Linked DNA regions of Notamacropus eugenii. The protein of the gene in region 2 interacts with the protein of the main gene of each other region in a biochemical or structural test. Links are inferred from orthologs where the notes say so. Each region holds a gene or a part of one and is shown on either strand. Other genes may lie near its edges.

The links. The genes of interacting proteins can lie anywhere in the genome.
Region 1: the proteins of NPR3 (region 2) and NPPA form a complex in vitro, tested with the Homo sapiens proteins (4 studies listed by BioGRID, with this or other methods). The link is inferred for Notamacropus eugenii from reciprocal best matches to the Homo sapiens genes NPR3 and NPPA.

What each region holds. Positions count from the first base shown.
Region 1 is NC_092876.1:51,274,912-51,282,095, forward strand, and holds NPPA (natriuretic peptides A), read right to left. Parts: upstream 2,500-7,184; 5' UTR 2,403-2,499; coding exon 2,292-2,402; intron 2,155-2,291; coding exon 1,837-2,154; intron 1,619-1,836; exon of another isoform or gene 1,390-1,618; coding exon of another isoform or gene 1,330-1,389; intron 1,088-1,329; coding exon 1,082-1,087; 3' UTR 805-1,081; downstream 1-804.
Region 2 is NC_092875.1:427,905,325-427,914,034, reverse strand, and holds the start of NPR3 (atrial natriuretic peptide receptor 3), read right to left. Parts: upstream 3,405-8,710; 5' UTR 2,932-3,404; coding exon 2,193-2,931; intron 1,441-2,192; exon of another isoform or gene 1,370-1,440; coding exon of another isoform or gene 1,351-1,369; intron 1,272-1,350; exon of another isoform or gene 1,196-1,271; coding exon of another isoform or gene 1,060-1,195; intron 1,007-1,059; exon of another isoform or gene 796-1,006; coding exon of another isoform or gene 735-795; intron 1-734. UniProt on the Homo sapiens protein: Receptor for the natriuretic peptide hormones, binding with similar affinities atrial natriuretic peptide NPPA/ANP, brain natriuretic peptide NPPB/BNP, and C-type natriuretic peptide NPPC/CNP.

The DNA of each region.
Region 1 (7,184 bases), on a different chromosome or scaffold from region 2:
TGACAAGAGCCCCTGTTTTTGGCTCTCAGTCATAAGTGCTCATCATGTTCAACCTGCTGTTCGTGATGAAGTGGATAGGATAGCTCACATCCCCTGTCCCGTCTTTGTCTTCCATCCAACACGGAGACTAATGGCTACTGCATTTCCTTATCCTTTTTTTTCTCCAAATTTCCGTACTTACTGAGAACAAGGCTGTTAACCCATGTCTCCAGCCAATGTCTGCTGCCTGAGAAATGCCTGCTATTTTACAAGGACACTTGTTAGAGCCTAATAATTCAGGCCTCTAGCTCTCTCATGAAGATGGAATGGTGATTATATTTTAAAGTTTAGATGTTAAAATCCAGGAGGTTAGTAAGCCTTTTTAAAACCTCATTTACACTTAGTAAATGTTTTTATTCTTCTATTCTTCCTTCAATTCTAGTTCTATCTAGTAACCAAAAATAGTGCCAAACCAGACCAACCCCAGCAGTCAGCTCTCAGAATTGCCTCATTAGAAACATGTGCCCCAAAACTTGTATGTCAAAAAATGATGAGGAATTGCATGGGAAAAGAAAAAACCATACAATGTTAGATATGAACTACATTAGCCTCGAGAAAACTTCACTCGAATCGGTCTAAATAAATAGCCATTATGGCTTTTCTTTGCCTCCGCAGATATGATGAGAGGTGACTCTCTGGCTAAGTGATTTTTAAAAAAAAGAAAGAAAGAAAGAAAATTTTGCAGGCAGTATAATAGTCGGAATAGACCTGAATTCCCCCACTGTTTCCCTGTAGGAAACAAAGAATCACACCAGCCCGCGGCTGTTTCTGTCCATGGTGCTGAAGTTTATTCATTCTTGAACTGCTTAGAATTTAAACTCAGATCTAATGAATGGACAAAAACCGCCATAACGCCATCACACCATCACACCATTTTGTCTACATTCAAAATTACATTTGTGAAACAGCAAAAGAAAGCTGTAGCTTGAACCAGGAGCACAAAGCCCAGTTTGCTAATAACAAATGGACAAAATAGAGCCAAAGTCCCAAAGGATTTGATCTGACAGGGTCCAGCACGTGTTTTCCTCTTTGTACATTATCTTCAGAACTACAAAGAGAAGACAAACATATTTGGTTAGCAATATCCCAGCTAGATGACCTAGAGAAGGTAACATGAGATTGGAATGGATAGCAGGTATAAAATGGACAAAAAACACCCTTTATCCTTGATCTCTTAAACCACTCTTCCTTAGCATATTAAAGTGGATCCTCTGGGCTTCCAGAACTAGCAGACAGTTCAGACCATAAAGGGTAATTAAAGAAATCCTTATGTATTCTATTTTATTCTAGACTTTGGTGACTCTGGAAAAGAGTGAAGCTGATGACTTTGTGCAACTCTGCCTCACTTAAATCCACTTCACAAGCAAGTCAAGAGGTCAACCATCATCCACTATTTTACCTTATTATTTGCTTCATTTACATCATAATGTCATTGACCCTCTTCAAAAATGAAGGACCACCACCACCACCAACTCATTCTATTTGACCCTTTAATTTTATAACTCTAGAAAGGAAAATAAATGAAAGCCCCTCACATTATAAAACAATCTGGTCCTATGGAAGTTTTAATTCTCTAATACATCTGGTGATACCCCCTTGGAGAATCAAGCATTACTGTTACAGTTTTGTAGTTACAGATAGTCCCAAAGGCAAGAATGATATATTTCAAAGGGAGATATGTATCTAGTCCCTGCACCTGCTGAGGATTTCACTTGGTAGTGAACCCCTCTACCTCTGCTTGAATTTTAGCATAGCATATGTCTCTTTTCTCCCTAACCCATTTCCAGATCTCCTTACCCTAAAACTGTTGCAGCCAAGTCCACTTTGGGCTCCTATTCTATCAATCCTGCCCCCAAAGCAGCTGGAGGACCTCCTCAGACTACGAGGGGAAGTCAAGAGTGCCCGAAGCTTATTCTTCAGGAGGGCAGATCTCTCAGATTGCTCCCAAGTGCCCCGGTTGAAGTTTCCCTCCCGCTGGGCTGGGCTGACTTCCCCACTCCAGGAAGAGAGGGAGCTAAGTGCTTCCCCAGCCTCCTCATTCTGCTCATTAAGTCCTTGTGAGGCCATGACCTCATCTTCTAAAGGTATCTTGTCCTCCAGGCGGTCCAACAAATTCTAAAAAATCAAAAAGGGAACAAAGAGAGGAGTTTATGAGTTCATTACATTGGGGAGTAGTGACCAAAAAATCAAAACCGTACCAAAATACCACCCCTGGTTTCTATTGTCCCTGACAAGTCTCTCTCTGGTCCTACCTTGAAATCCACCAGGTCATTATTGGACACAGGACTGGCTTTGGTTCGACCTTGAAGCTGCAGGGTCAAAAGGAGGAGAATGCTGATGGAGATGGTAGTGAAGGAGCCCATGCTGTGATTGGTCGTCAATATCAGTCAGTCAAATGCTTGCTGTCTCTTCTGTCTCCTCTTCGCTCTTGGTCTTCTGACCCTGTTGTCTTATGCCTCCCAGTCTGCCTCTTTGTCTTTTTATATCCCCCTCCAGCACCCTGAGACCGCCCAAGGGATGTACCCCTCCCCATTCTGTCACTTGCAGTGATAAAGGACTGGAGTGAGCCAACAGAAGATGTCCTTTTAAAGTTATCAGTCCAGTGCAGACTGTCACAACCTCATTGTAGAGGTGGCTTCTGCACTTCAACGGTTGTCACAGCCTCAGGAACCCTAGGCTGCAAGAGTCACATTCTTGTTGATTTGGCTCAAGAGGTTTCACACTTTAAAGGTGTGAGAGGAACCAAAAAAATCCTTGATTATCTCACAAAGATGCCTCAGGATTCTTTGCTTCCTTGCCGTGGAAACAATTTAGGGAAACAGGATGGCTGGCCAGTACCCATCTCTCCCCAAGCTTGTTACATGAATGCTAGGGAGGTCCAAATAAGGACAAGAAAGAAGGAAATTACAGGCAACTTTCAACCTAGAGAAAGAGTTCAAGCTGACACAGACAAGCCTGGATGCTTGGGACAATTTTATACTCTTTCTTACTTAATTCAGATTCTTTCTCCTGCATGTGAGTTCCCAACTGTGGCTATGGTTCCAAGCAGCTGGGTAGAGCAGAGGTGAGTTGTTGTTTTTTCTCATAAAGACTGTGAAGTCAGCACCAAGGATAGAATGTGAGAAACACCCCATGGGAGAAACATCCTAATCATTCTGCTCCCACATATCAACACCAGAGAATATTTTCCTGAAGTCAATATCCCCCACTCACCACCCACAATACATACCCTTACTCTTCCATCACTTTTCCCTCTTGTAAGGTGTTGATAGAAATGATTATGAACCTAGAAAAAGCCACCATCATCATTCCATTGCCATGTGGTATCCTAGAAGCTATTAAATCAAAAGTCTGAAACTTGTATTGAGTTCTAGCCTTGCCAGAAAAAAAAAAAAAAGTCAATGGGGTGGGCCAATGTGGAGAGCCCTTTGTGGCACATACTAGTCTCCTAGATCTTTCTCTACCTCACATCAGTTGGTGCAGGCAAGTGACAGACATTTGGACCCCCATTTCTCAGTCAAAAACTAACAAGGTTCAATCAATATGAAATTTTTACAAACTGTTTAGCACTGTACTAGACATTAGCACTTCCTAGGCTTATAGATTTAGAGTGGAAAAAAGCATTAAAAGTTAGTGAGTCCACTATGTTCATTTTATAGATTAGAAAACTGAGGCAGACAGGTGAAGTGACTTGCTCAGGGTCACACAGCTAGTAAGTGTCTGAAGTAGGATCTGAACCCAGGTGTTTCTGACTCCAAGTCCACCGTACCATGATACATCTTTAATTCAGTAGTCACTTATTAATTACCTACAGTGAGCAAAGCAAGTGTATTTAAGGAAGAATACTAATTGGGAGGGATAACTTACAAGAAATGTGTTTAGGACACTTGATTGAGATTTGAGAATCCAGAACCTTTTACCCAGCAGCCCAAATCACAGAATCTCAGAGTTGGAAGAGACATCAGAGACCATCTAGTCTAACCCACACAGTGCCCCTCCTTTCAGGAAGCTTTCCTTGACTGATATGAGCCATGGTCTAAAATTAGCCATCATCAGTCCTTCTGTCACTCTTGCAATGGCTGCCTACCTTTGTGGGGTCTTTCCTACCTTCTTCTATTAGACTGTAAACCTCCTGAGGGGAGGTTTTGTGTAGTCGTTATGTACTCATTCATCCTAGGGGCAGCTAAGTGGTGCAGTGGATAGAGCACCAGTGCAGGAGTCAGAAAGACTTGAGTTCAAATCTCACCTCAGACACTTGACACTCACTGTGTGACCTTGGGCAAATCACTTAACCCCAATTTTCTCCTCCTGGGTCATCTCCAGTCATCCTGATTCAGGTGGCTCTGGAGGAAAAGTGAGGCTGGTGACCTGCACAGCCCTCCCTCTCTCAAAAAAGAAAAAAGACAAAGTGAAGTGCAAGTCATGTCATTATTTCTCTGATGGCATGGTCTTCTTTGACAACAAAGGACAAACACACATGTACAAACACACCTAGCACATTGTTATATGCTTCATGGATGGTCTAAAAACATGTTAACTGATAGACCTTGTACTTAATCCTAGTTTTTGGTTAGATTTGGAGAAATTCTCCATGGTGCTAATTTGTTTATAAAATGAAGAACTGATCCTGTTCCATCCCTGCTTCTCATGGAACACCATGACCAGGTCAGTTAGGTATTGTGAGCTTGTTTGTATTGTGGAGTCACAAAATCTGACATTTACAAAGGATTTTAGAGGCCAGCTAATCTCACTCATATCTGAATAAAAGAAACCTTCACTTGCATGATCTCTGCAAAGCCATCCTCTAGATTCCAGTTGAAGACTTGAAGCCGTTCATTCCATTTTCAAACAACTCTAATTGTCATGAAGTTTTTCCTGGCATCAAACCTAAAGTTGCCTCACTTCAGCTTTCAGCCATATTTCCTGGTTCTGCTCTTGGGAGCAAGACTAATCCCTCAAATGCCAGAAGATAATTGTCATGTCTTCCTGAGTTTTATTCCCTCATCCAGGCTAAATATCCCAATTTTCTTCATGAAATCTAATATTTTTCTAATAAAGATTGAATTGCATTGCTATAATCCTCAGTAAAATTACTTGACCAGTGGGTTTCAGGGCTTTGGAAGATGATGATGAAGAGGAGGAAGATAACTGGCATTTGTGTGATGCTTTAAGGTTTGCAAAGTGTTCTACATGTTATTTAATTTGATCCACACAAAAACCTGAGAAGTATGTGCTATTATTATTCCCATTTTATAGACGATGTATCTGAAACAGAGAAAGTGAAGTGACTTGCCCAGTGACCCACTTGAATTCAGGTCTTCCTGACTCCAAGTCCAACACTCAATCCACCTAGATCCCCATTGATGAAGAATACAATATTGAGCCATTTTCAGTTGGAATTTGGTAGGCCAAAGACAACATTCTCCTAATGATGCTGCATGATTCAAGTCATAAGTGCATGTCAGGTTATTTTTAGTAAGGCTAGTTTGACAAGAAGCTGTGTTTCCGAGAAGTAATTCTTTCTAAGCATGTCAGCCTGCCCTGTCCTTGCCCTTCTGAGACAGCCCTCTGATGTGGGTGTTATCTTGGCAAATGGCATACCAGAAATGACATAGGGCAGTCTCTTCTTTCCACCCTCCCTTCCCTGACCCCTCCCCCTCTCCAGCTGCTTTTGCAGGCATCTTGGGGTAAAAGCAGAAGTCACTGTCCAAGGTTCCAGATTATTCAGAATCTATTTTCTTTTTCCTGAAGACTTCTTTCCTCTCTGAGAGCTAGTATATGGAAAGACAATAAAACTTGATGGGATTTTTGGATTAAGATCTGGAATAGACCTTAGGTATTATCTCATCTAATTCCAAAATTTTTCAGATGGGGAAACAAATAGCTTGTCTTGCATCGTTACCATGAATATTGATTTAAAGCCCACCTGTCAACTGTTTATTAGCAGAAGAGGCAGGGAAATCACAGATAATCAAGATCCATATACAATCCCCTCTCCACACACTCCAGTTACACTGGGCTCACTGGGCTTCCTATGTCTCAAACACACCTCTGTGGTTACTCCTTTTCCTGGCTGTGTCTGGAAGATGCCCACTTCATCTCAGTCCTACTCATCCTTCCAGAAGAACTTCAAACACCATCCCCTCCCTGAACCCTTCCTTCTTTCCCCAAACTCAAGCCATAAAGATACTTGGATCTCTCCAAGTACTTTGTGCCTCTTAAGGACTTACCAAATTCTCCCATTCACCATAGTTATTTGCACATTTGCTATATCTCTCCCCAAAATAACTACCATTTATTTAATTGTGCTTACAACTTACATAGTCCTTTATATATTTTATCACATTTGATCCTCACAATAATATTTGGCAGTCAGTGCTGGGTGACCTCACTTAAACTTTGACTGCCTTAATTGTATAATGATAGCATTTACCTCCTAGAGTTATTGTGAGGATCAAATGAAATATTTGCAAATTACTTAGCACAGTGTCTGGCTCTTAGGAGGTATATGATAAATGCTAGATTCTGGCCTGTCTTCCTTCTTGACTCTAAGTTCAGAATGAAGGATTTAGAATTTCATTTTCCCATTAGCTTTAACCTCCTCCCCCTACCCATCAATTTTTCTTCTGGGGCTTCCAACCAGGAGAATTGTGTGACTTGACTTTCCATTCCTTTCCTCGCCTTTTCTCAACGTTGTATGGTATATTAATGACCAATGAGATTTTCAAGAAGCCATGTTGTAAGAAGGAGAGGGAGAGATTGCAAAAAGGTTTGGACATCAGCCTTTTCTTTCCCTTCTGGCATCTGAATAGAAAAATATTAGCCGTATTTTTATGCCCTGGAACAAAGGAGGTCATTTGCTGCAGAGATGAGTTGGAGGGCAGATCTTACTGATTCAGTGCTTTCTTGCCTTCTTTGGAGTTGCTCTTAGCTCCTCCTTAGGAGCAACTGTTATCATAGTAAATGTCATCGATATCACACACATATGGAAATCAACTGAGAAAAGTCCATGTCCCTACAGCACTTTGTAGTTTACAAAATGCTTCTTGATCTTCAATTGTGTGAAGAGCCGACATGTGGAGCAGAAAGTAGATATATCTTGGTCCTGAGGACAGAACCAGGCATGGAGCTGCAGAGAAAGGGGG
Region 2 (8,710 bases):
ATAGCCCCTCCCATGTGAATTTAAAAGTGGAAGTATACTACTCACATGGGATTGAAAATGTTCCATAGAGATTCCCACCCCTACTCCCCAAAAGGCCCTGCTGGGGCATCCAAAGCCCACCTTTACATGGCAAAAATCATGCCTATTTCGAGAATCTGAGGTAAACTTGGGCAGCAGCCCAGAGGGAGTCAGTATTGCCAGCTACTGCCATCCACGCAGACAGTCAGACGCACGCATCTGTCCCTTCCCTGCCCTCTCTGGTGTTCAGCTTGGCGCCGCTCACAGGAGTCAGGCGGCGGGGGCTGATGCTCAGAGACCTCTCCGCCTGTTGGTTTCATATTTATTCCCGCAGCCTTCTACTGCCCGTCCTGACGTCGGGGCTACAAGTCTCTTTGGGAGAGATCTGCCAGGTCCGGGTGGGGAAGAAAGGGGGAGGGGTTTATTTTCACGTCCTGGGTGTGGTCGGTAGGAAATGTGTGGCAAGCAGTTCGATCAGAATGCCTCTTCCATACACCACAGGGCAAGAAAAATGCCGACGAATCTGGATAGCCTGAGGTTTGTGCAGACCGAGAGAGGGCCGGCTCAAGGTCCTGGCTAAATGGGCTGGGCGCCATCCATGGTGGTGTGTGTGTGTATGTGATATGTAAATATATGTATGTATTGTACATATACATGTCTGTATTTCAATGGTATACCTTAAAGGCTTAAGCGTTCATTTAGCCCCATGTACCTACCTAGGCAGGCCCTGGGCAGATGTACATGGAAAAAGCTTGATTCGGGCCACGTATTTCGCATTCCAGAACCTCCCCTTCTTCCATCTAGACTACGAGGTCCACCTGCCCAGCGCCCTATATTAAGCTATCAACTGCACGGCTCACACTGCCACCTCTGCCTCTTGCAGTCCTCCCACCTGTTCGGGATTCTGGTGACAAAGTGCGGAGGCTGGGCCAGAAACTGCTCCAGGCCACGCGCCCGTGCTTCTCAGTCCAAGCTCCGCAAGCCAAGCGCTCAGGTGTGCGGAACCACACCCGCGGTAAATGTATTTGCCAGCTTACGCACCTTTAGAGGGCCCGAGTCTCACGTGTCTCGTTCCCAGGGCTGAGAGTGCCAAGATTTCACCACCTACATTCCAGGCGCAATGGCATAAGGGGAAGGCGGAGAGGTGGCTCTGTGTTCTAGAATTAGCTGACGACATCCCCTTGGCGCATTGTGCCCTTATCCGGATATGGTTAGGCACCCTGCCTGATTTCTCCGGGAAATCTCACTTTCTCCCCTGAAATTCGTGGTCAAGAAGTTGAAACCCCTTCTTTTCTCCCTCGCACCTACCAACTCACGTAACTCATTTCTCACCTCTTGCCAATTTCGGCATTTGTTTATTAAGAAGCAAATTATTATTACAGTCGGAACCATGTGTACCTCCGAGTGATTCTCCAGCAAGTATGGGACCTGAAGATGCCCCTATTTGGAATCTTCGGGGATGGAAACACTCAGGAATCTAAAGGGGATGTTGATTGTTGCCAGGACGCAACGACGCATTTTGAGTGGAAACCCAGGAAACGTATTTGTTAAGAAGGGTGGAGTGGGCGAAGGGAGGAAGACCCAGGAGATGGATGAGGAAAAATCAATACAATCGAGCTTTTTAAAGGAAATAGAATAGTAGCTGGAAGAAGGGAAATGGGACAACTTGACAAGCATACTAGGGGGGAGGAAGGGGGTAAGCACTTAAAACGGGGCATTAGGAAAGCTAACCAACACTGCACAAACTTTAAGGGAGAGGAAGGGAAAGGGAAAGCCAAGATAAGTCCTCAGGACAGGAAAACCCTCCGGTCTTTGCGCTTCTCCCCTCCCCTCCCCAGACCTAGGGAAGGAAAGAGAATAGATTTCCTTCCTATCTCCCCACCTACACCCCTCTATGCCCTTACACATTTCCTCGTCCTCTACCAAGGAGGTGGAGAGGGCTTATACATGGGCCAGTGGAAAAAGCTCATCCCAAAGCTAGAATGATTAGACTTCTGCAGTTACATTTTGCATATCTCCATCCCTTTCACCCCTTTCCGCATTCCCAGCGCCAGGGAAAGTGGGGAAAAGTTGGGGTGCCCTTACAATGTTCAAGGAGTAGAATAGAGAGGGTTGGGATGCGGGATGGGAGAGGGCTAAAAGGTACACTAGATGGGGACGTTCCTCTAGCTCACCCCTCTCGCTGGCCTGGATGTAGCGCACGATTTCTTCAGCGTCTAGGGTTTTGGTCTCGTCGAAGCTGTAGGCGGATGTGTGCAAACCCTCCTCCTGGAAGACCTCATGGACCCCCTCCAGGGTGAAGTAACAGTTCCGCTCCAGCTTGTCATCACTGTAGATCAGGGCAGCTCGGCTCCACTGCTGATGCCGGAACAAGGCGAGCATCATCTCTCCCATCTTGGCGTAGGCGGGTGCCACACGGGTAAGGTGCGAGAACTCGCTCTCCTTGTGCTTGAAGCCAGCCGCGAGAGCTCCGGCAGACAGCATGGGCAGGTCCCAGTGCGACGCCAGCCGGGCCACAGGTGCTGCAGCATATTCGCAGACCGGGCCCAGGATCAAGTCCGGTTTAGACCCCCGGGCCACTGCCACTCGATCAACTAAACTGAAGAGTGCCTGGTTGCCGCAGTGCGAATCCTGATAGTCCACCTGGAAGCTGTAGCCCTGTGGAAGCAGCTGTCTCCTAGTCCCATTTTCCTCCACGCTACGCAGCGCGTACTCGATGGCCGGCTTGACCCTGGCCAAGGAGAACATGTAAGCGTTGTCCTTGGGTAGAAGCACCAGAACCTCGATCTTCTGCGTCTCTTCCACCACAGGGAGCCCGCCGCCTCGGTTTCCGCTGCTGCTGCCGCCGCTTGCCAGGAGCGCCCAGCTTAGCACAGCGCAAGAAGAGAAACTGAGTAACAAAAAGGATGGCATTGCGCTGAAGAGCAATCTCTGTCACTCACCTTAGCCCGTCTTCTTCCCACCACCTTCCTCCTTCTCCCCCTCCCTTTCCTCTACCTCCTTAGTCCCTGCGCCCCCTTGGGTGCCCTAAGAAAACAGAATTCCCCTTCTACCGTCAAGTGACGGGAAAAAGGGCCCTTCTCTAAAATGTTACCAGTTTTTTTTAAGTTTACACCTATGACCCTATAGTATGTTATATAGATATTTCTCTTTCCTCCTATATACTATTTTGCCTAGAGGTGACTTCTTTTTTTTGGACGTTGTTGAGATTGATTTTGAAAGAATGGCTTGCAAAAAAAAAAAAAAATTAAACTTGTCCAAGTGATTGTAATTGACGGAGCATCTGCCTCCCGTTTGATCTCATTGATTCTCCCTTGCTCCTTGATACATATCCTCTGTTTAAATAGTGTGGTAGCGGACGAGCCTGTTACCACACATGGAGCTGCGAGAACGGGTTTGTATTTCGAGCGGGTAGGGTGGGGGGTTGACGGGGGGTTGGAGGGGAGCCTCTCATTAGCATTCTTACATCAGGACTCCTCCCCACACCCCTTCCCTCCCTCCTTCCCAACCTCAATCCACCCACCACCCCGACCTTTTTCTTAAAGTTGCAGCACACGTAACACACTCATCTCCCCTCAGTTCATATCCACAGTGCACACGCGCCTTTTCTGTTCTCCAACTCGCTCCAAAACACAGCAGCTCAATTCAGGCGCCACCGCTTCAGCTCAAAAGCTACTGACTAAAGATCCTTATACAATTAATTTGCAAATAAATACACAAGCGCCAAGCAAAAGTAACAACTAATCAAGATCTCGTCTGACTTTTACTGGCAAGGAAACTTCGGGGGTCTCCCCGTTAGAGCGCGCGCGTTCTCCTCTTTCCCCTCTCTCCTTCCCTCTCTTTCAGGCAATGCAACTGAAGGGGGAGGAGGGGGTCCCTAAGTCCGGAGGAGGAGTTATGTCGCCCACTGTCTATCTGTCTCTACTATCCAGAGCTCTATTGAGGCTGAGAGGTCTTTGGCATTTGAGTTGGGGAGCCCAAAGAAAAAAGTTTGCTTTCACAGCTCTTAAGTGACCTAGGCGAATCCAGTATCCCGGCGTCCTCTACATACCTGGGACACAAGCTAGCCAAGCCCAATTTCTGGAGGTCGGCCCGCATCCTATGCTCTCCCGGCAGAAACTGCCTTAAGCCTTTTCCCCACTTACCCGTTTTTTCCACCTATGCAGATTCTGCCTTTCCTCTGGTTCCGGAGTGCGCGGGCGCTTCTCTTTGCATATATTCTTCCCAGGAGTGAAGACCAAGTGAAACCAAGGAGCGCTTTCCCAAAGAAGAGCGCGTGGGGTGGGGGGGAGGGGAAGCGAAACTTTTTGCTTGCAGAGGGTGACTTCCAGCCCGTGATTCCGCTTCTCCATAGGCAGTTGGAATATGGCAAATGTTTGCAAACCGCCCAAAAAACGTCCGCAGGACTTTATGGGCACATAAAGGGGATCTTTCATTCCCCCACCTTTGCAAAAGAGGATGCAGCTCTGAAGAAAGAAAGATAACAGGTCCGAAGTCCTGATCTCTTGCAAGTCAAAAGGCAGGAATGGAAAGGATTTCATACAAGGCAGTGGCCTGACTATCAAGTCAGGAAATCCATGCTTTCCATGCGTATTCAAATAGAATTCAGCATTCTTATCCTTGGTATATGTACACGTAAAACATTATTTGTTTGGGTCACGTACTTCACTACCTCTACGAGATTAAAAAAATTTAATTCCACAAATTAGAAAAATACTAACCATCAGAATTTCGTTTGAATACTTTCACTTAACTTTAAAGAAACTTAAAGCTTTCCCCCTATTAATCCCAGGAAAACGCCCTCTTTCGGCAGAAAAATTAATATGGCTGGTAACCTTTGCACCACTGCTCCAGGCTCTGCATTTTTGTCTCCCAGACTAGAATTCTTGTTTCTATTTGTATTTATAATTAAGTGCTTCCTGATAACTTTGTTTTCCTCTGGCTGAACTAATTAATACAACTCTTCGTTATGCTAATTGAAAGAATAGAAAGTATGCTTAACTGAAGTTAATTGCAATCTAATCTCAGAATCTAACTTTAAGTAATAAACTGTCTCCTACTCCTTTGAAATCTCTTATTTAAAAAAAACTACTTCAGGGAAGGAAGGGAAGGATAAAATTAGAAACTCAAAACTTTTTTTTTTAAAAATCAATGTCAAAAAGTTATTTTAACATGTAATTAGTGGAAAATAAAGTATGTTAAAATTTAAAACTACTTAAAAGTCACTCTAAAATATTTTAATTTCACCTAATATTTAATAGCAAGAGAGGCTGCCTGGAATAGTGACTGAAGAGCTGGCTCTAAAGTCTAGAACATATGGGTTTAAGCCTTGCCCCTGACTCTTTGTAGCCCAGTAAATCAATGTATAGCTTTGAACCCCAGAATCAGAATCTGATTGTAGAGGTGTCAATTAGTAAAGGTAGAAAGAGTTTCTGTAATGGGAGTTCACTATACAACGGAATGAACACTCCTCCTCTTTATGCCCCTTATCCCAAGCAAAGGACCAGGACAAGATCCACAACCGAATAATTGCAAATGCACTTTATTAGACAATTTTAGACATAGGGTTTTTGAAGGAAATCAACAACTAAGTTCCAGACTGAATGAATTTCTCATTTTAAGCTGAAGATCCTAAAGAATATGAAATATCCTATTCTTCATATTATGGCTTCCTAGGATGAGCACAGTCAAAGGCAAAGTAATTCTCCAGTTTGTTGTTTAAGTCTTAAAGAGAGAGGCCCAGGGTTTAAATGGCATGAGTGAATTGCCTCTCACTTTACAGATAGATGGTCTTCTCAACTTAGCCTGGAGGTCATTGTCAGGGCAGTGCATTTAAGTTCAGCTTAATACCAGAGCTTTCAGTTTGGAGGTTTTGAATGGGAATGCCTCATTTTGAGTGTATAACCCATCTGTAAACTTTTAAAGGAATCTAAAAGATAAAAGAAATTAAGGAGAAATTTTGCATACTGTACTTCAATAAACTAAATAATTAAACGAGTAGTTTATATTATTCAATTTCCTCCTTTTCAAAACATCCCTCAGAAAATGTTGAAGAGAAATTGGGATTTATCAACAGTATTAGACAAACGGAAATTGGCATAAAATCAGGTAAAGGACTAATTATAAATATCAGTGGTAAAGTATGTACATTTTAGTGTTGTTGAATTATTTACTTCATATCAAATTACTGTTTGAAAACCAGTAAGAAGTTTACATAAGTATCAGTGTATAAATATGACTTGTCATTATGCACACACACACACACACACACACACACACATTAAGTCATGTCTTAAACTTGGAATGGGTCTTAGAAATCATCTAATCCCATCCCCTGATATAACATCAGGGAACAGCCCCAAATCTCTGTGTAATGAGAAAATTCTAATTTCCATATTCATTTTCATATTCTGAGAATTATTTGATTATTTACTAGTCCAAACCTGTGATTTGATCGGTGAGCTATTTTGAGTGCAGAAACTCCCTCCACCTATTCTGATCAATAATATGTCTCTCTTTTATAGTGACAGAGTTGGATTAGGAGACTACTTCCAGCAGACATTGAGTGGTTAAGTGACTTGTCTGTATTCTCACACCTGCATGTTTTAAACAGGCACCACCACCTAGCTGGATTTAGGGAAGGCCTTGGAGTTGAGAAGATCTGGATTCAAGTCCTGTCTTGGACACACACTGACCATTTGACCATGGACAAAATTTAGAATTATTTGTTGATAGGTGGTATATGAGCCAAATTACAATATGTAAACCAAATTCCAACATGTAAAAGAATAGACAATCTTTTGTATATAGTGGAGTTCTCTTGTAATGATGCTTTCAAGGAGAGGTGCTTCCCGCTTTATTTAAAAAAAGCAATAATAACCATAATACGTAGAATGTTTAGATGGCACAGTGGATAGAGTTTGGAGTTCGAGTGCTGCCTCAAATGATTACTAGCTTGTGACTTTGGGCAAATTGCTTAACCTCCCTCCATCTGTTTCCTCCTCTATAAGATGAGAATAATAATAGCATTTATCTATCAAGGTTGTTATGAGGCTCAAGTAAGATTTTATATGAAATCACTCTGCAAATGTTAAAGAGCCATATAAATGTAGGCTATTGTGGTGTGATAGGATGCTGTACTATGTTTATTACATGAATGACAAATATTATTTACAAAATAGAAGTATTACATCCCTGAAGGATCCAATTTTAAAATTATGCTTCTCTGAAATTGTTTGAAACATTGAAAGGAGAAAGCACATTTTTTCTCTCCTGTCAGAAAAGCATATGAAACTACAGAATAGATGTTGAGAACATGCTCCAAAGCAGAATAAAATTAATTGGGGGTGGGGGGACTATTTGAATACTTTATGCAGCCTCCATATTTAATTTGTGACACAAATGAATAGTAATGTCATAACATTTAGAAATCATTTAATTAATTGTGTATAACATTTTAAATCACGAAACCAGAAGACAAGGGTAACAACTTTTCTAAAGAGTATTTGTTTATCATTTGTTTAAGGACCTATGAAAACAAAACACTATCTACTATGGCAATACTACATCCTTCCTGTAATAATTAAAACATTTGGAGCTAGTATTCTATAGAGATTATCAAGGATAGCATTTTTAAGGCTATTAGAAACAGATTGGTTGTCTCCACCAATTGTTACTCTCTCTACAGTAACCCATCATTGGAATCACAGTTGTAATTGTTAAATCTTGCAGCCAGCTTCAATTCTTAAGGAAGGCCTCCACCCTTCATTTAACCAGCTCCAAGTAATACTGAAGAACATCCTTATGAAGCCTGCTGCTCATTCACAGAATGCCTCCTGGGGAAAGGATTGCTGAAAACACAGTTCCCCCTAGAGGCTGAAAAGATGAAAGAACATAACACATAATTCAAGAACATGTCTGTCATTTAGTTTAAGATTTTCATTTTAATGTGTAGTTTATATTAAAGAAAGAACTTGTAGGTGGAAAAAATACAGCAAATGCCAGAACATTAAATAAGAATTTGAGCTTTAGGCTTTAGCTCCCCCTCAGCAGAGGCCCTACTTCTTCTATTGTATACTTCTATTTCAAGAGTCACAAGAAATGGAAAATGTTTTCTACTTAAATTTATGATGAAAAATCACCAGATATTGCTGTAATGGAGGGCCTTGTGGGAATCAATGAACACATGGCTCTAGGAGATCATCTATTTCTTATTCTTAGGGCTTAATTTTTACTATTCTCCGAGGTGTACATTAGTTACAAATTGTATTTTTTCCCCTTGCTCATTTTCTTTCCAAAAAGGAATTATATTGGAGATATCTAATGGAAAATGTTTAGACAGTAAGTGATTTAACCCATCTGGATGCCAGGCATGATCTGTCTTAGTATTTACAAGCTAAGGGCAAAGTTTTCATATAATTGATAGGAAATCTCCCCCCCCACACACATCTCCCATGTATTTAGATTATACAATACTTCTTCATTGTTACAACCACAACAAATTACATTTTTAAATTATCTTTTGATTATCAATTATCAACTGCCATTAAGAAAATGTAACTTGGCATCATGGAACAGGTTAAGATTATATAGAAACTACATAGTTTCTCTAATGGGATATAGATGGCTTTCCATCTTCTATTAAATTTTGATAATGTCCACTAAATTTGATGCTACTGAGCAAGGCGCAATA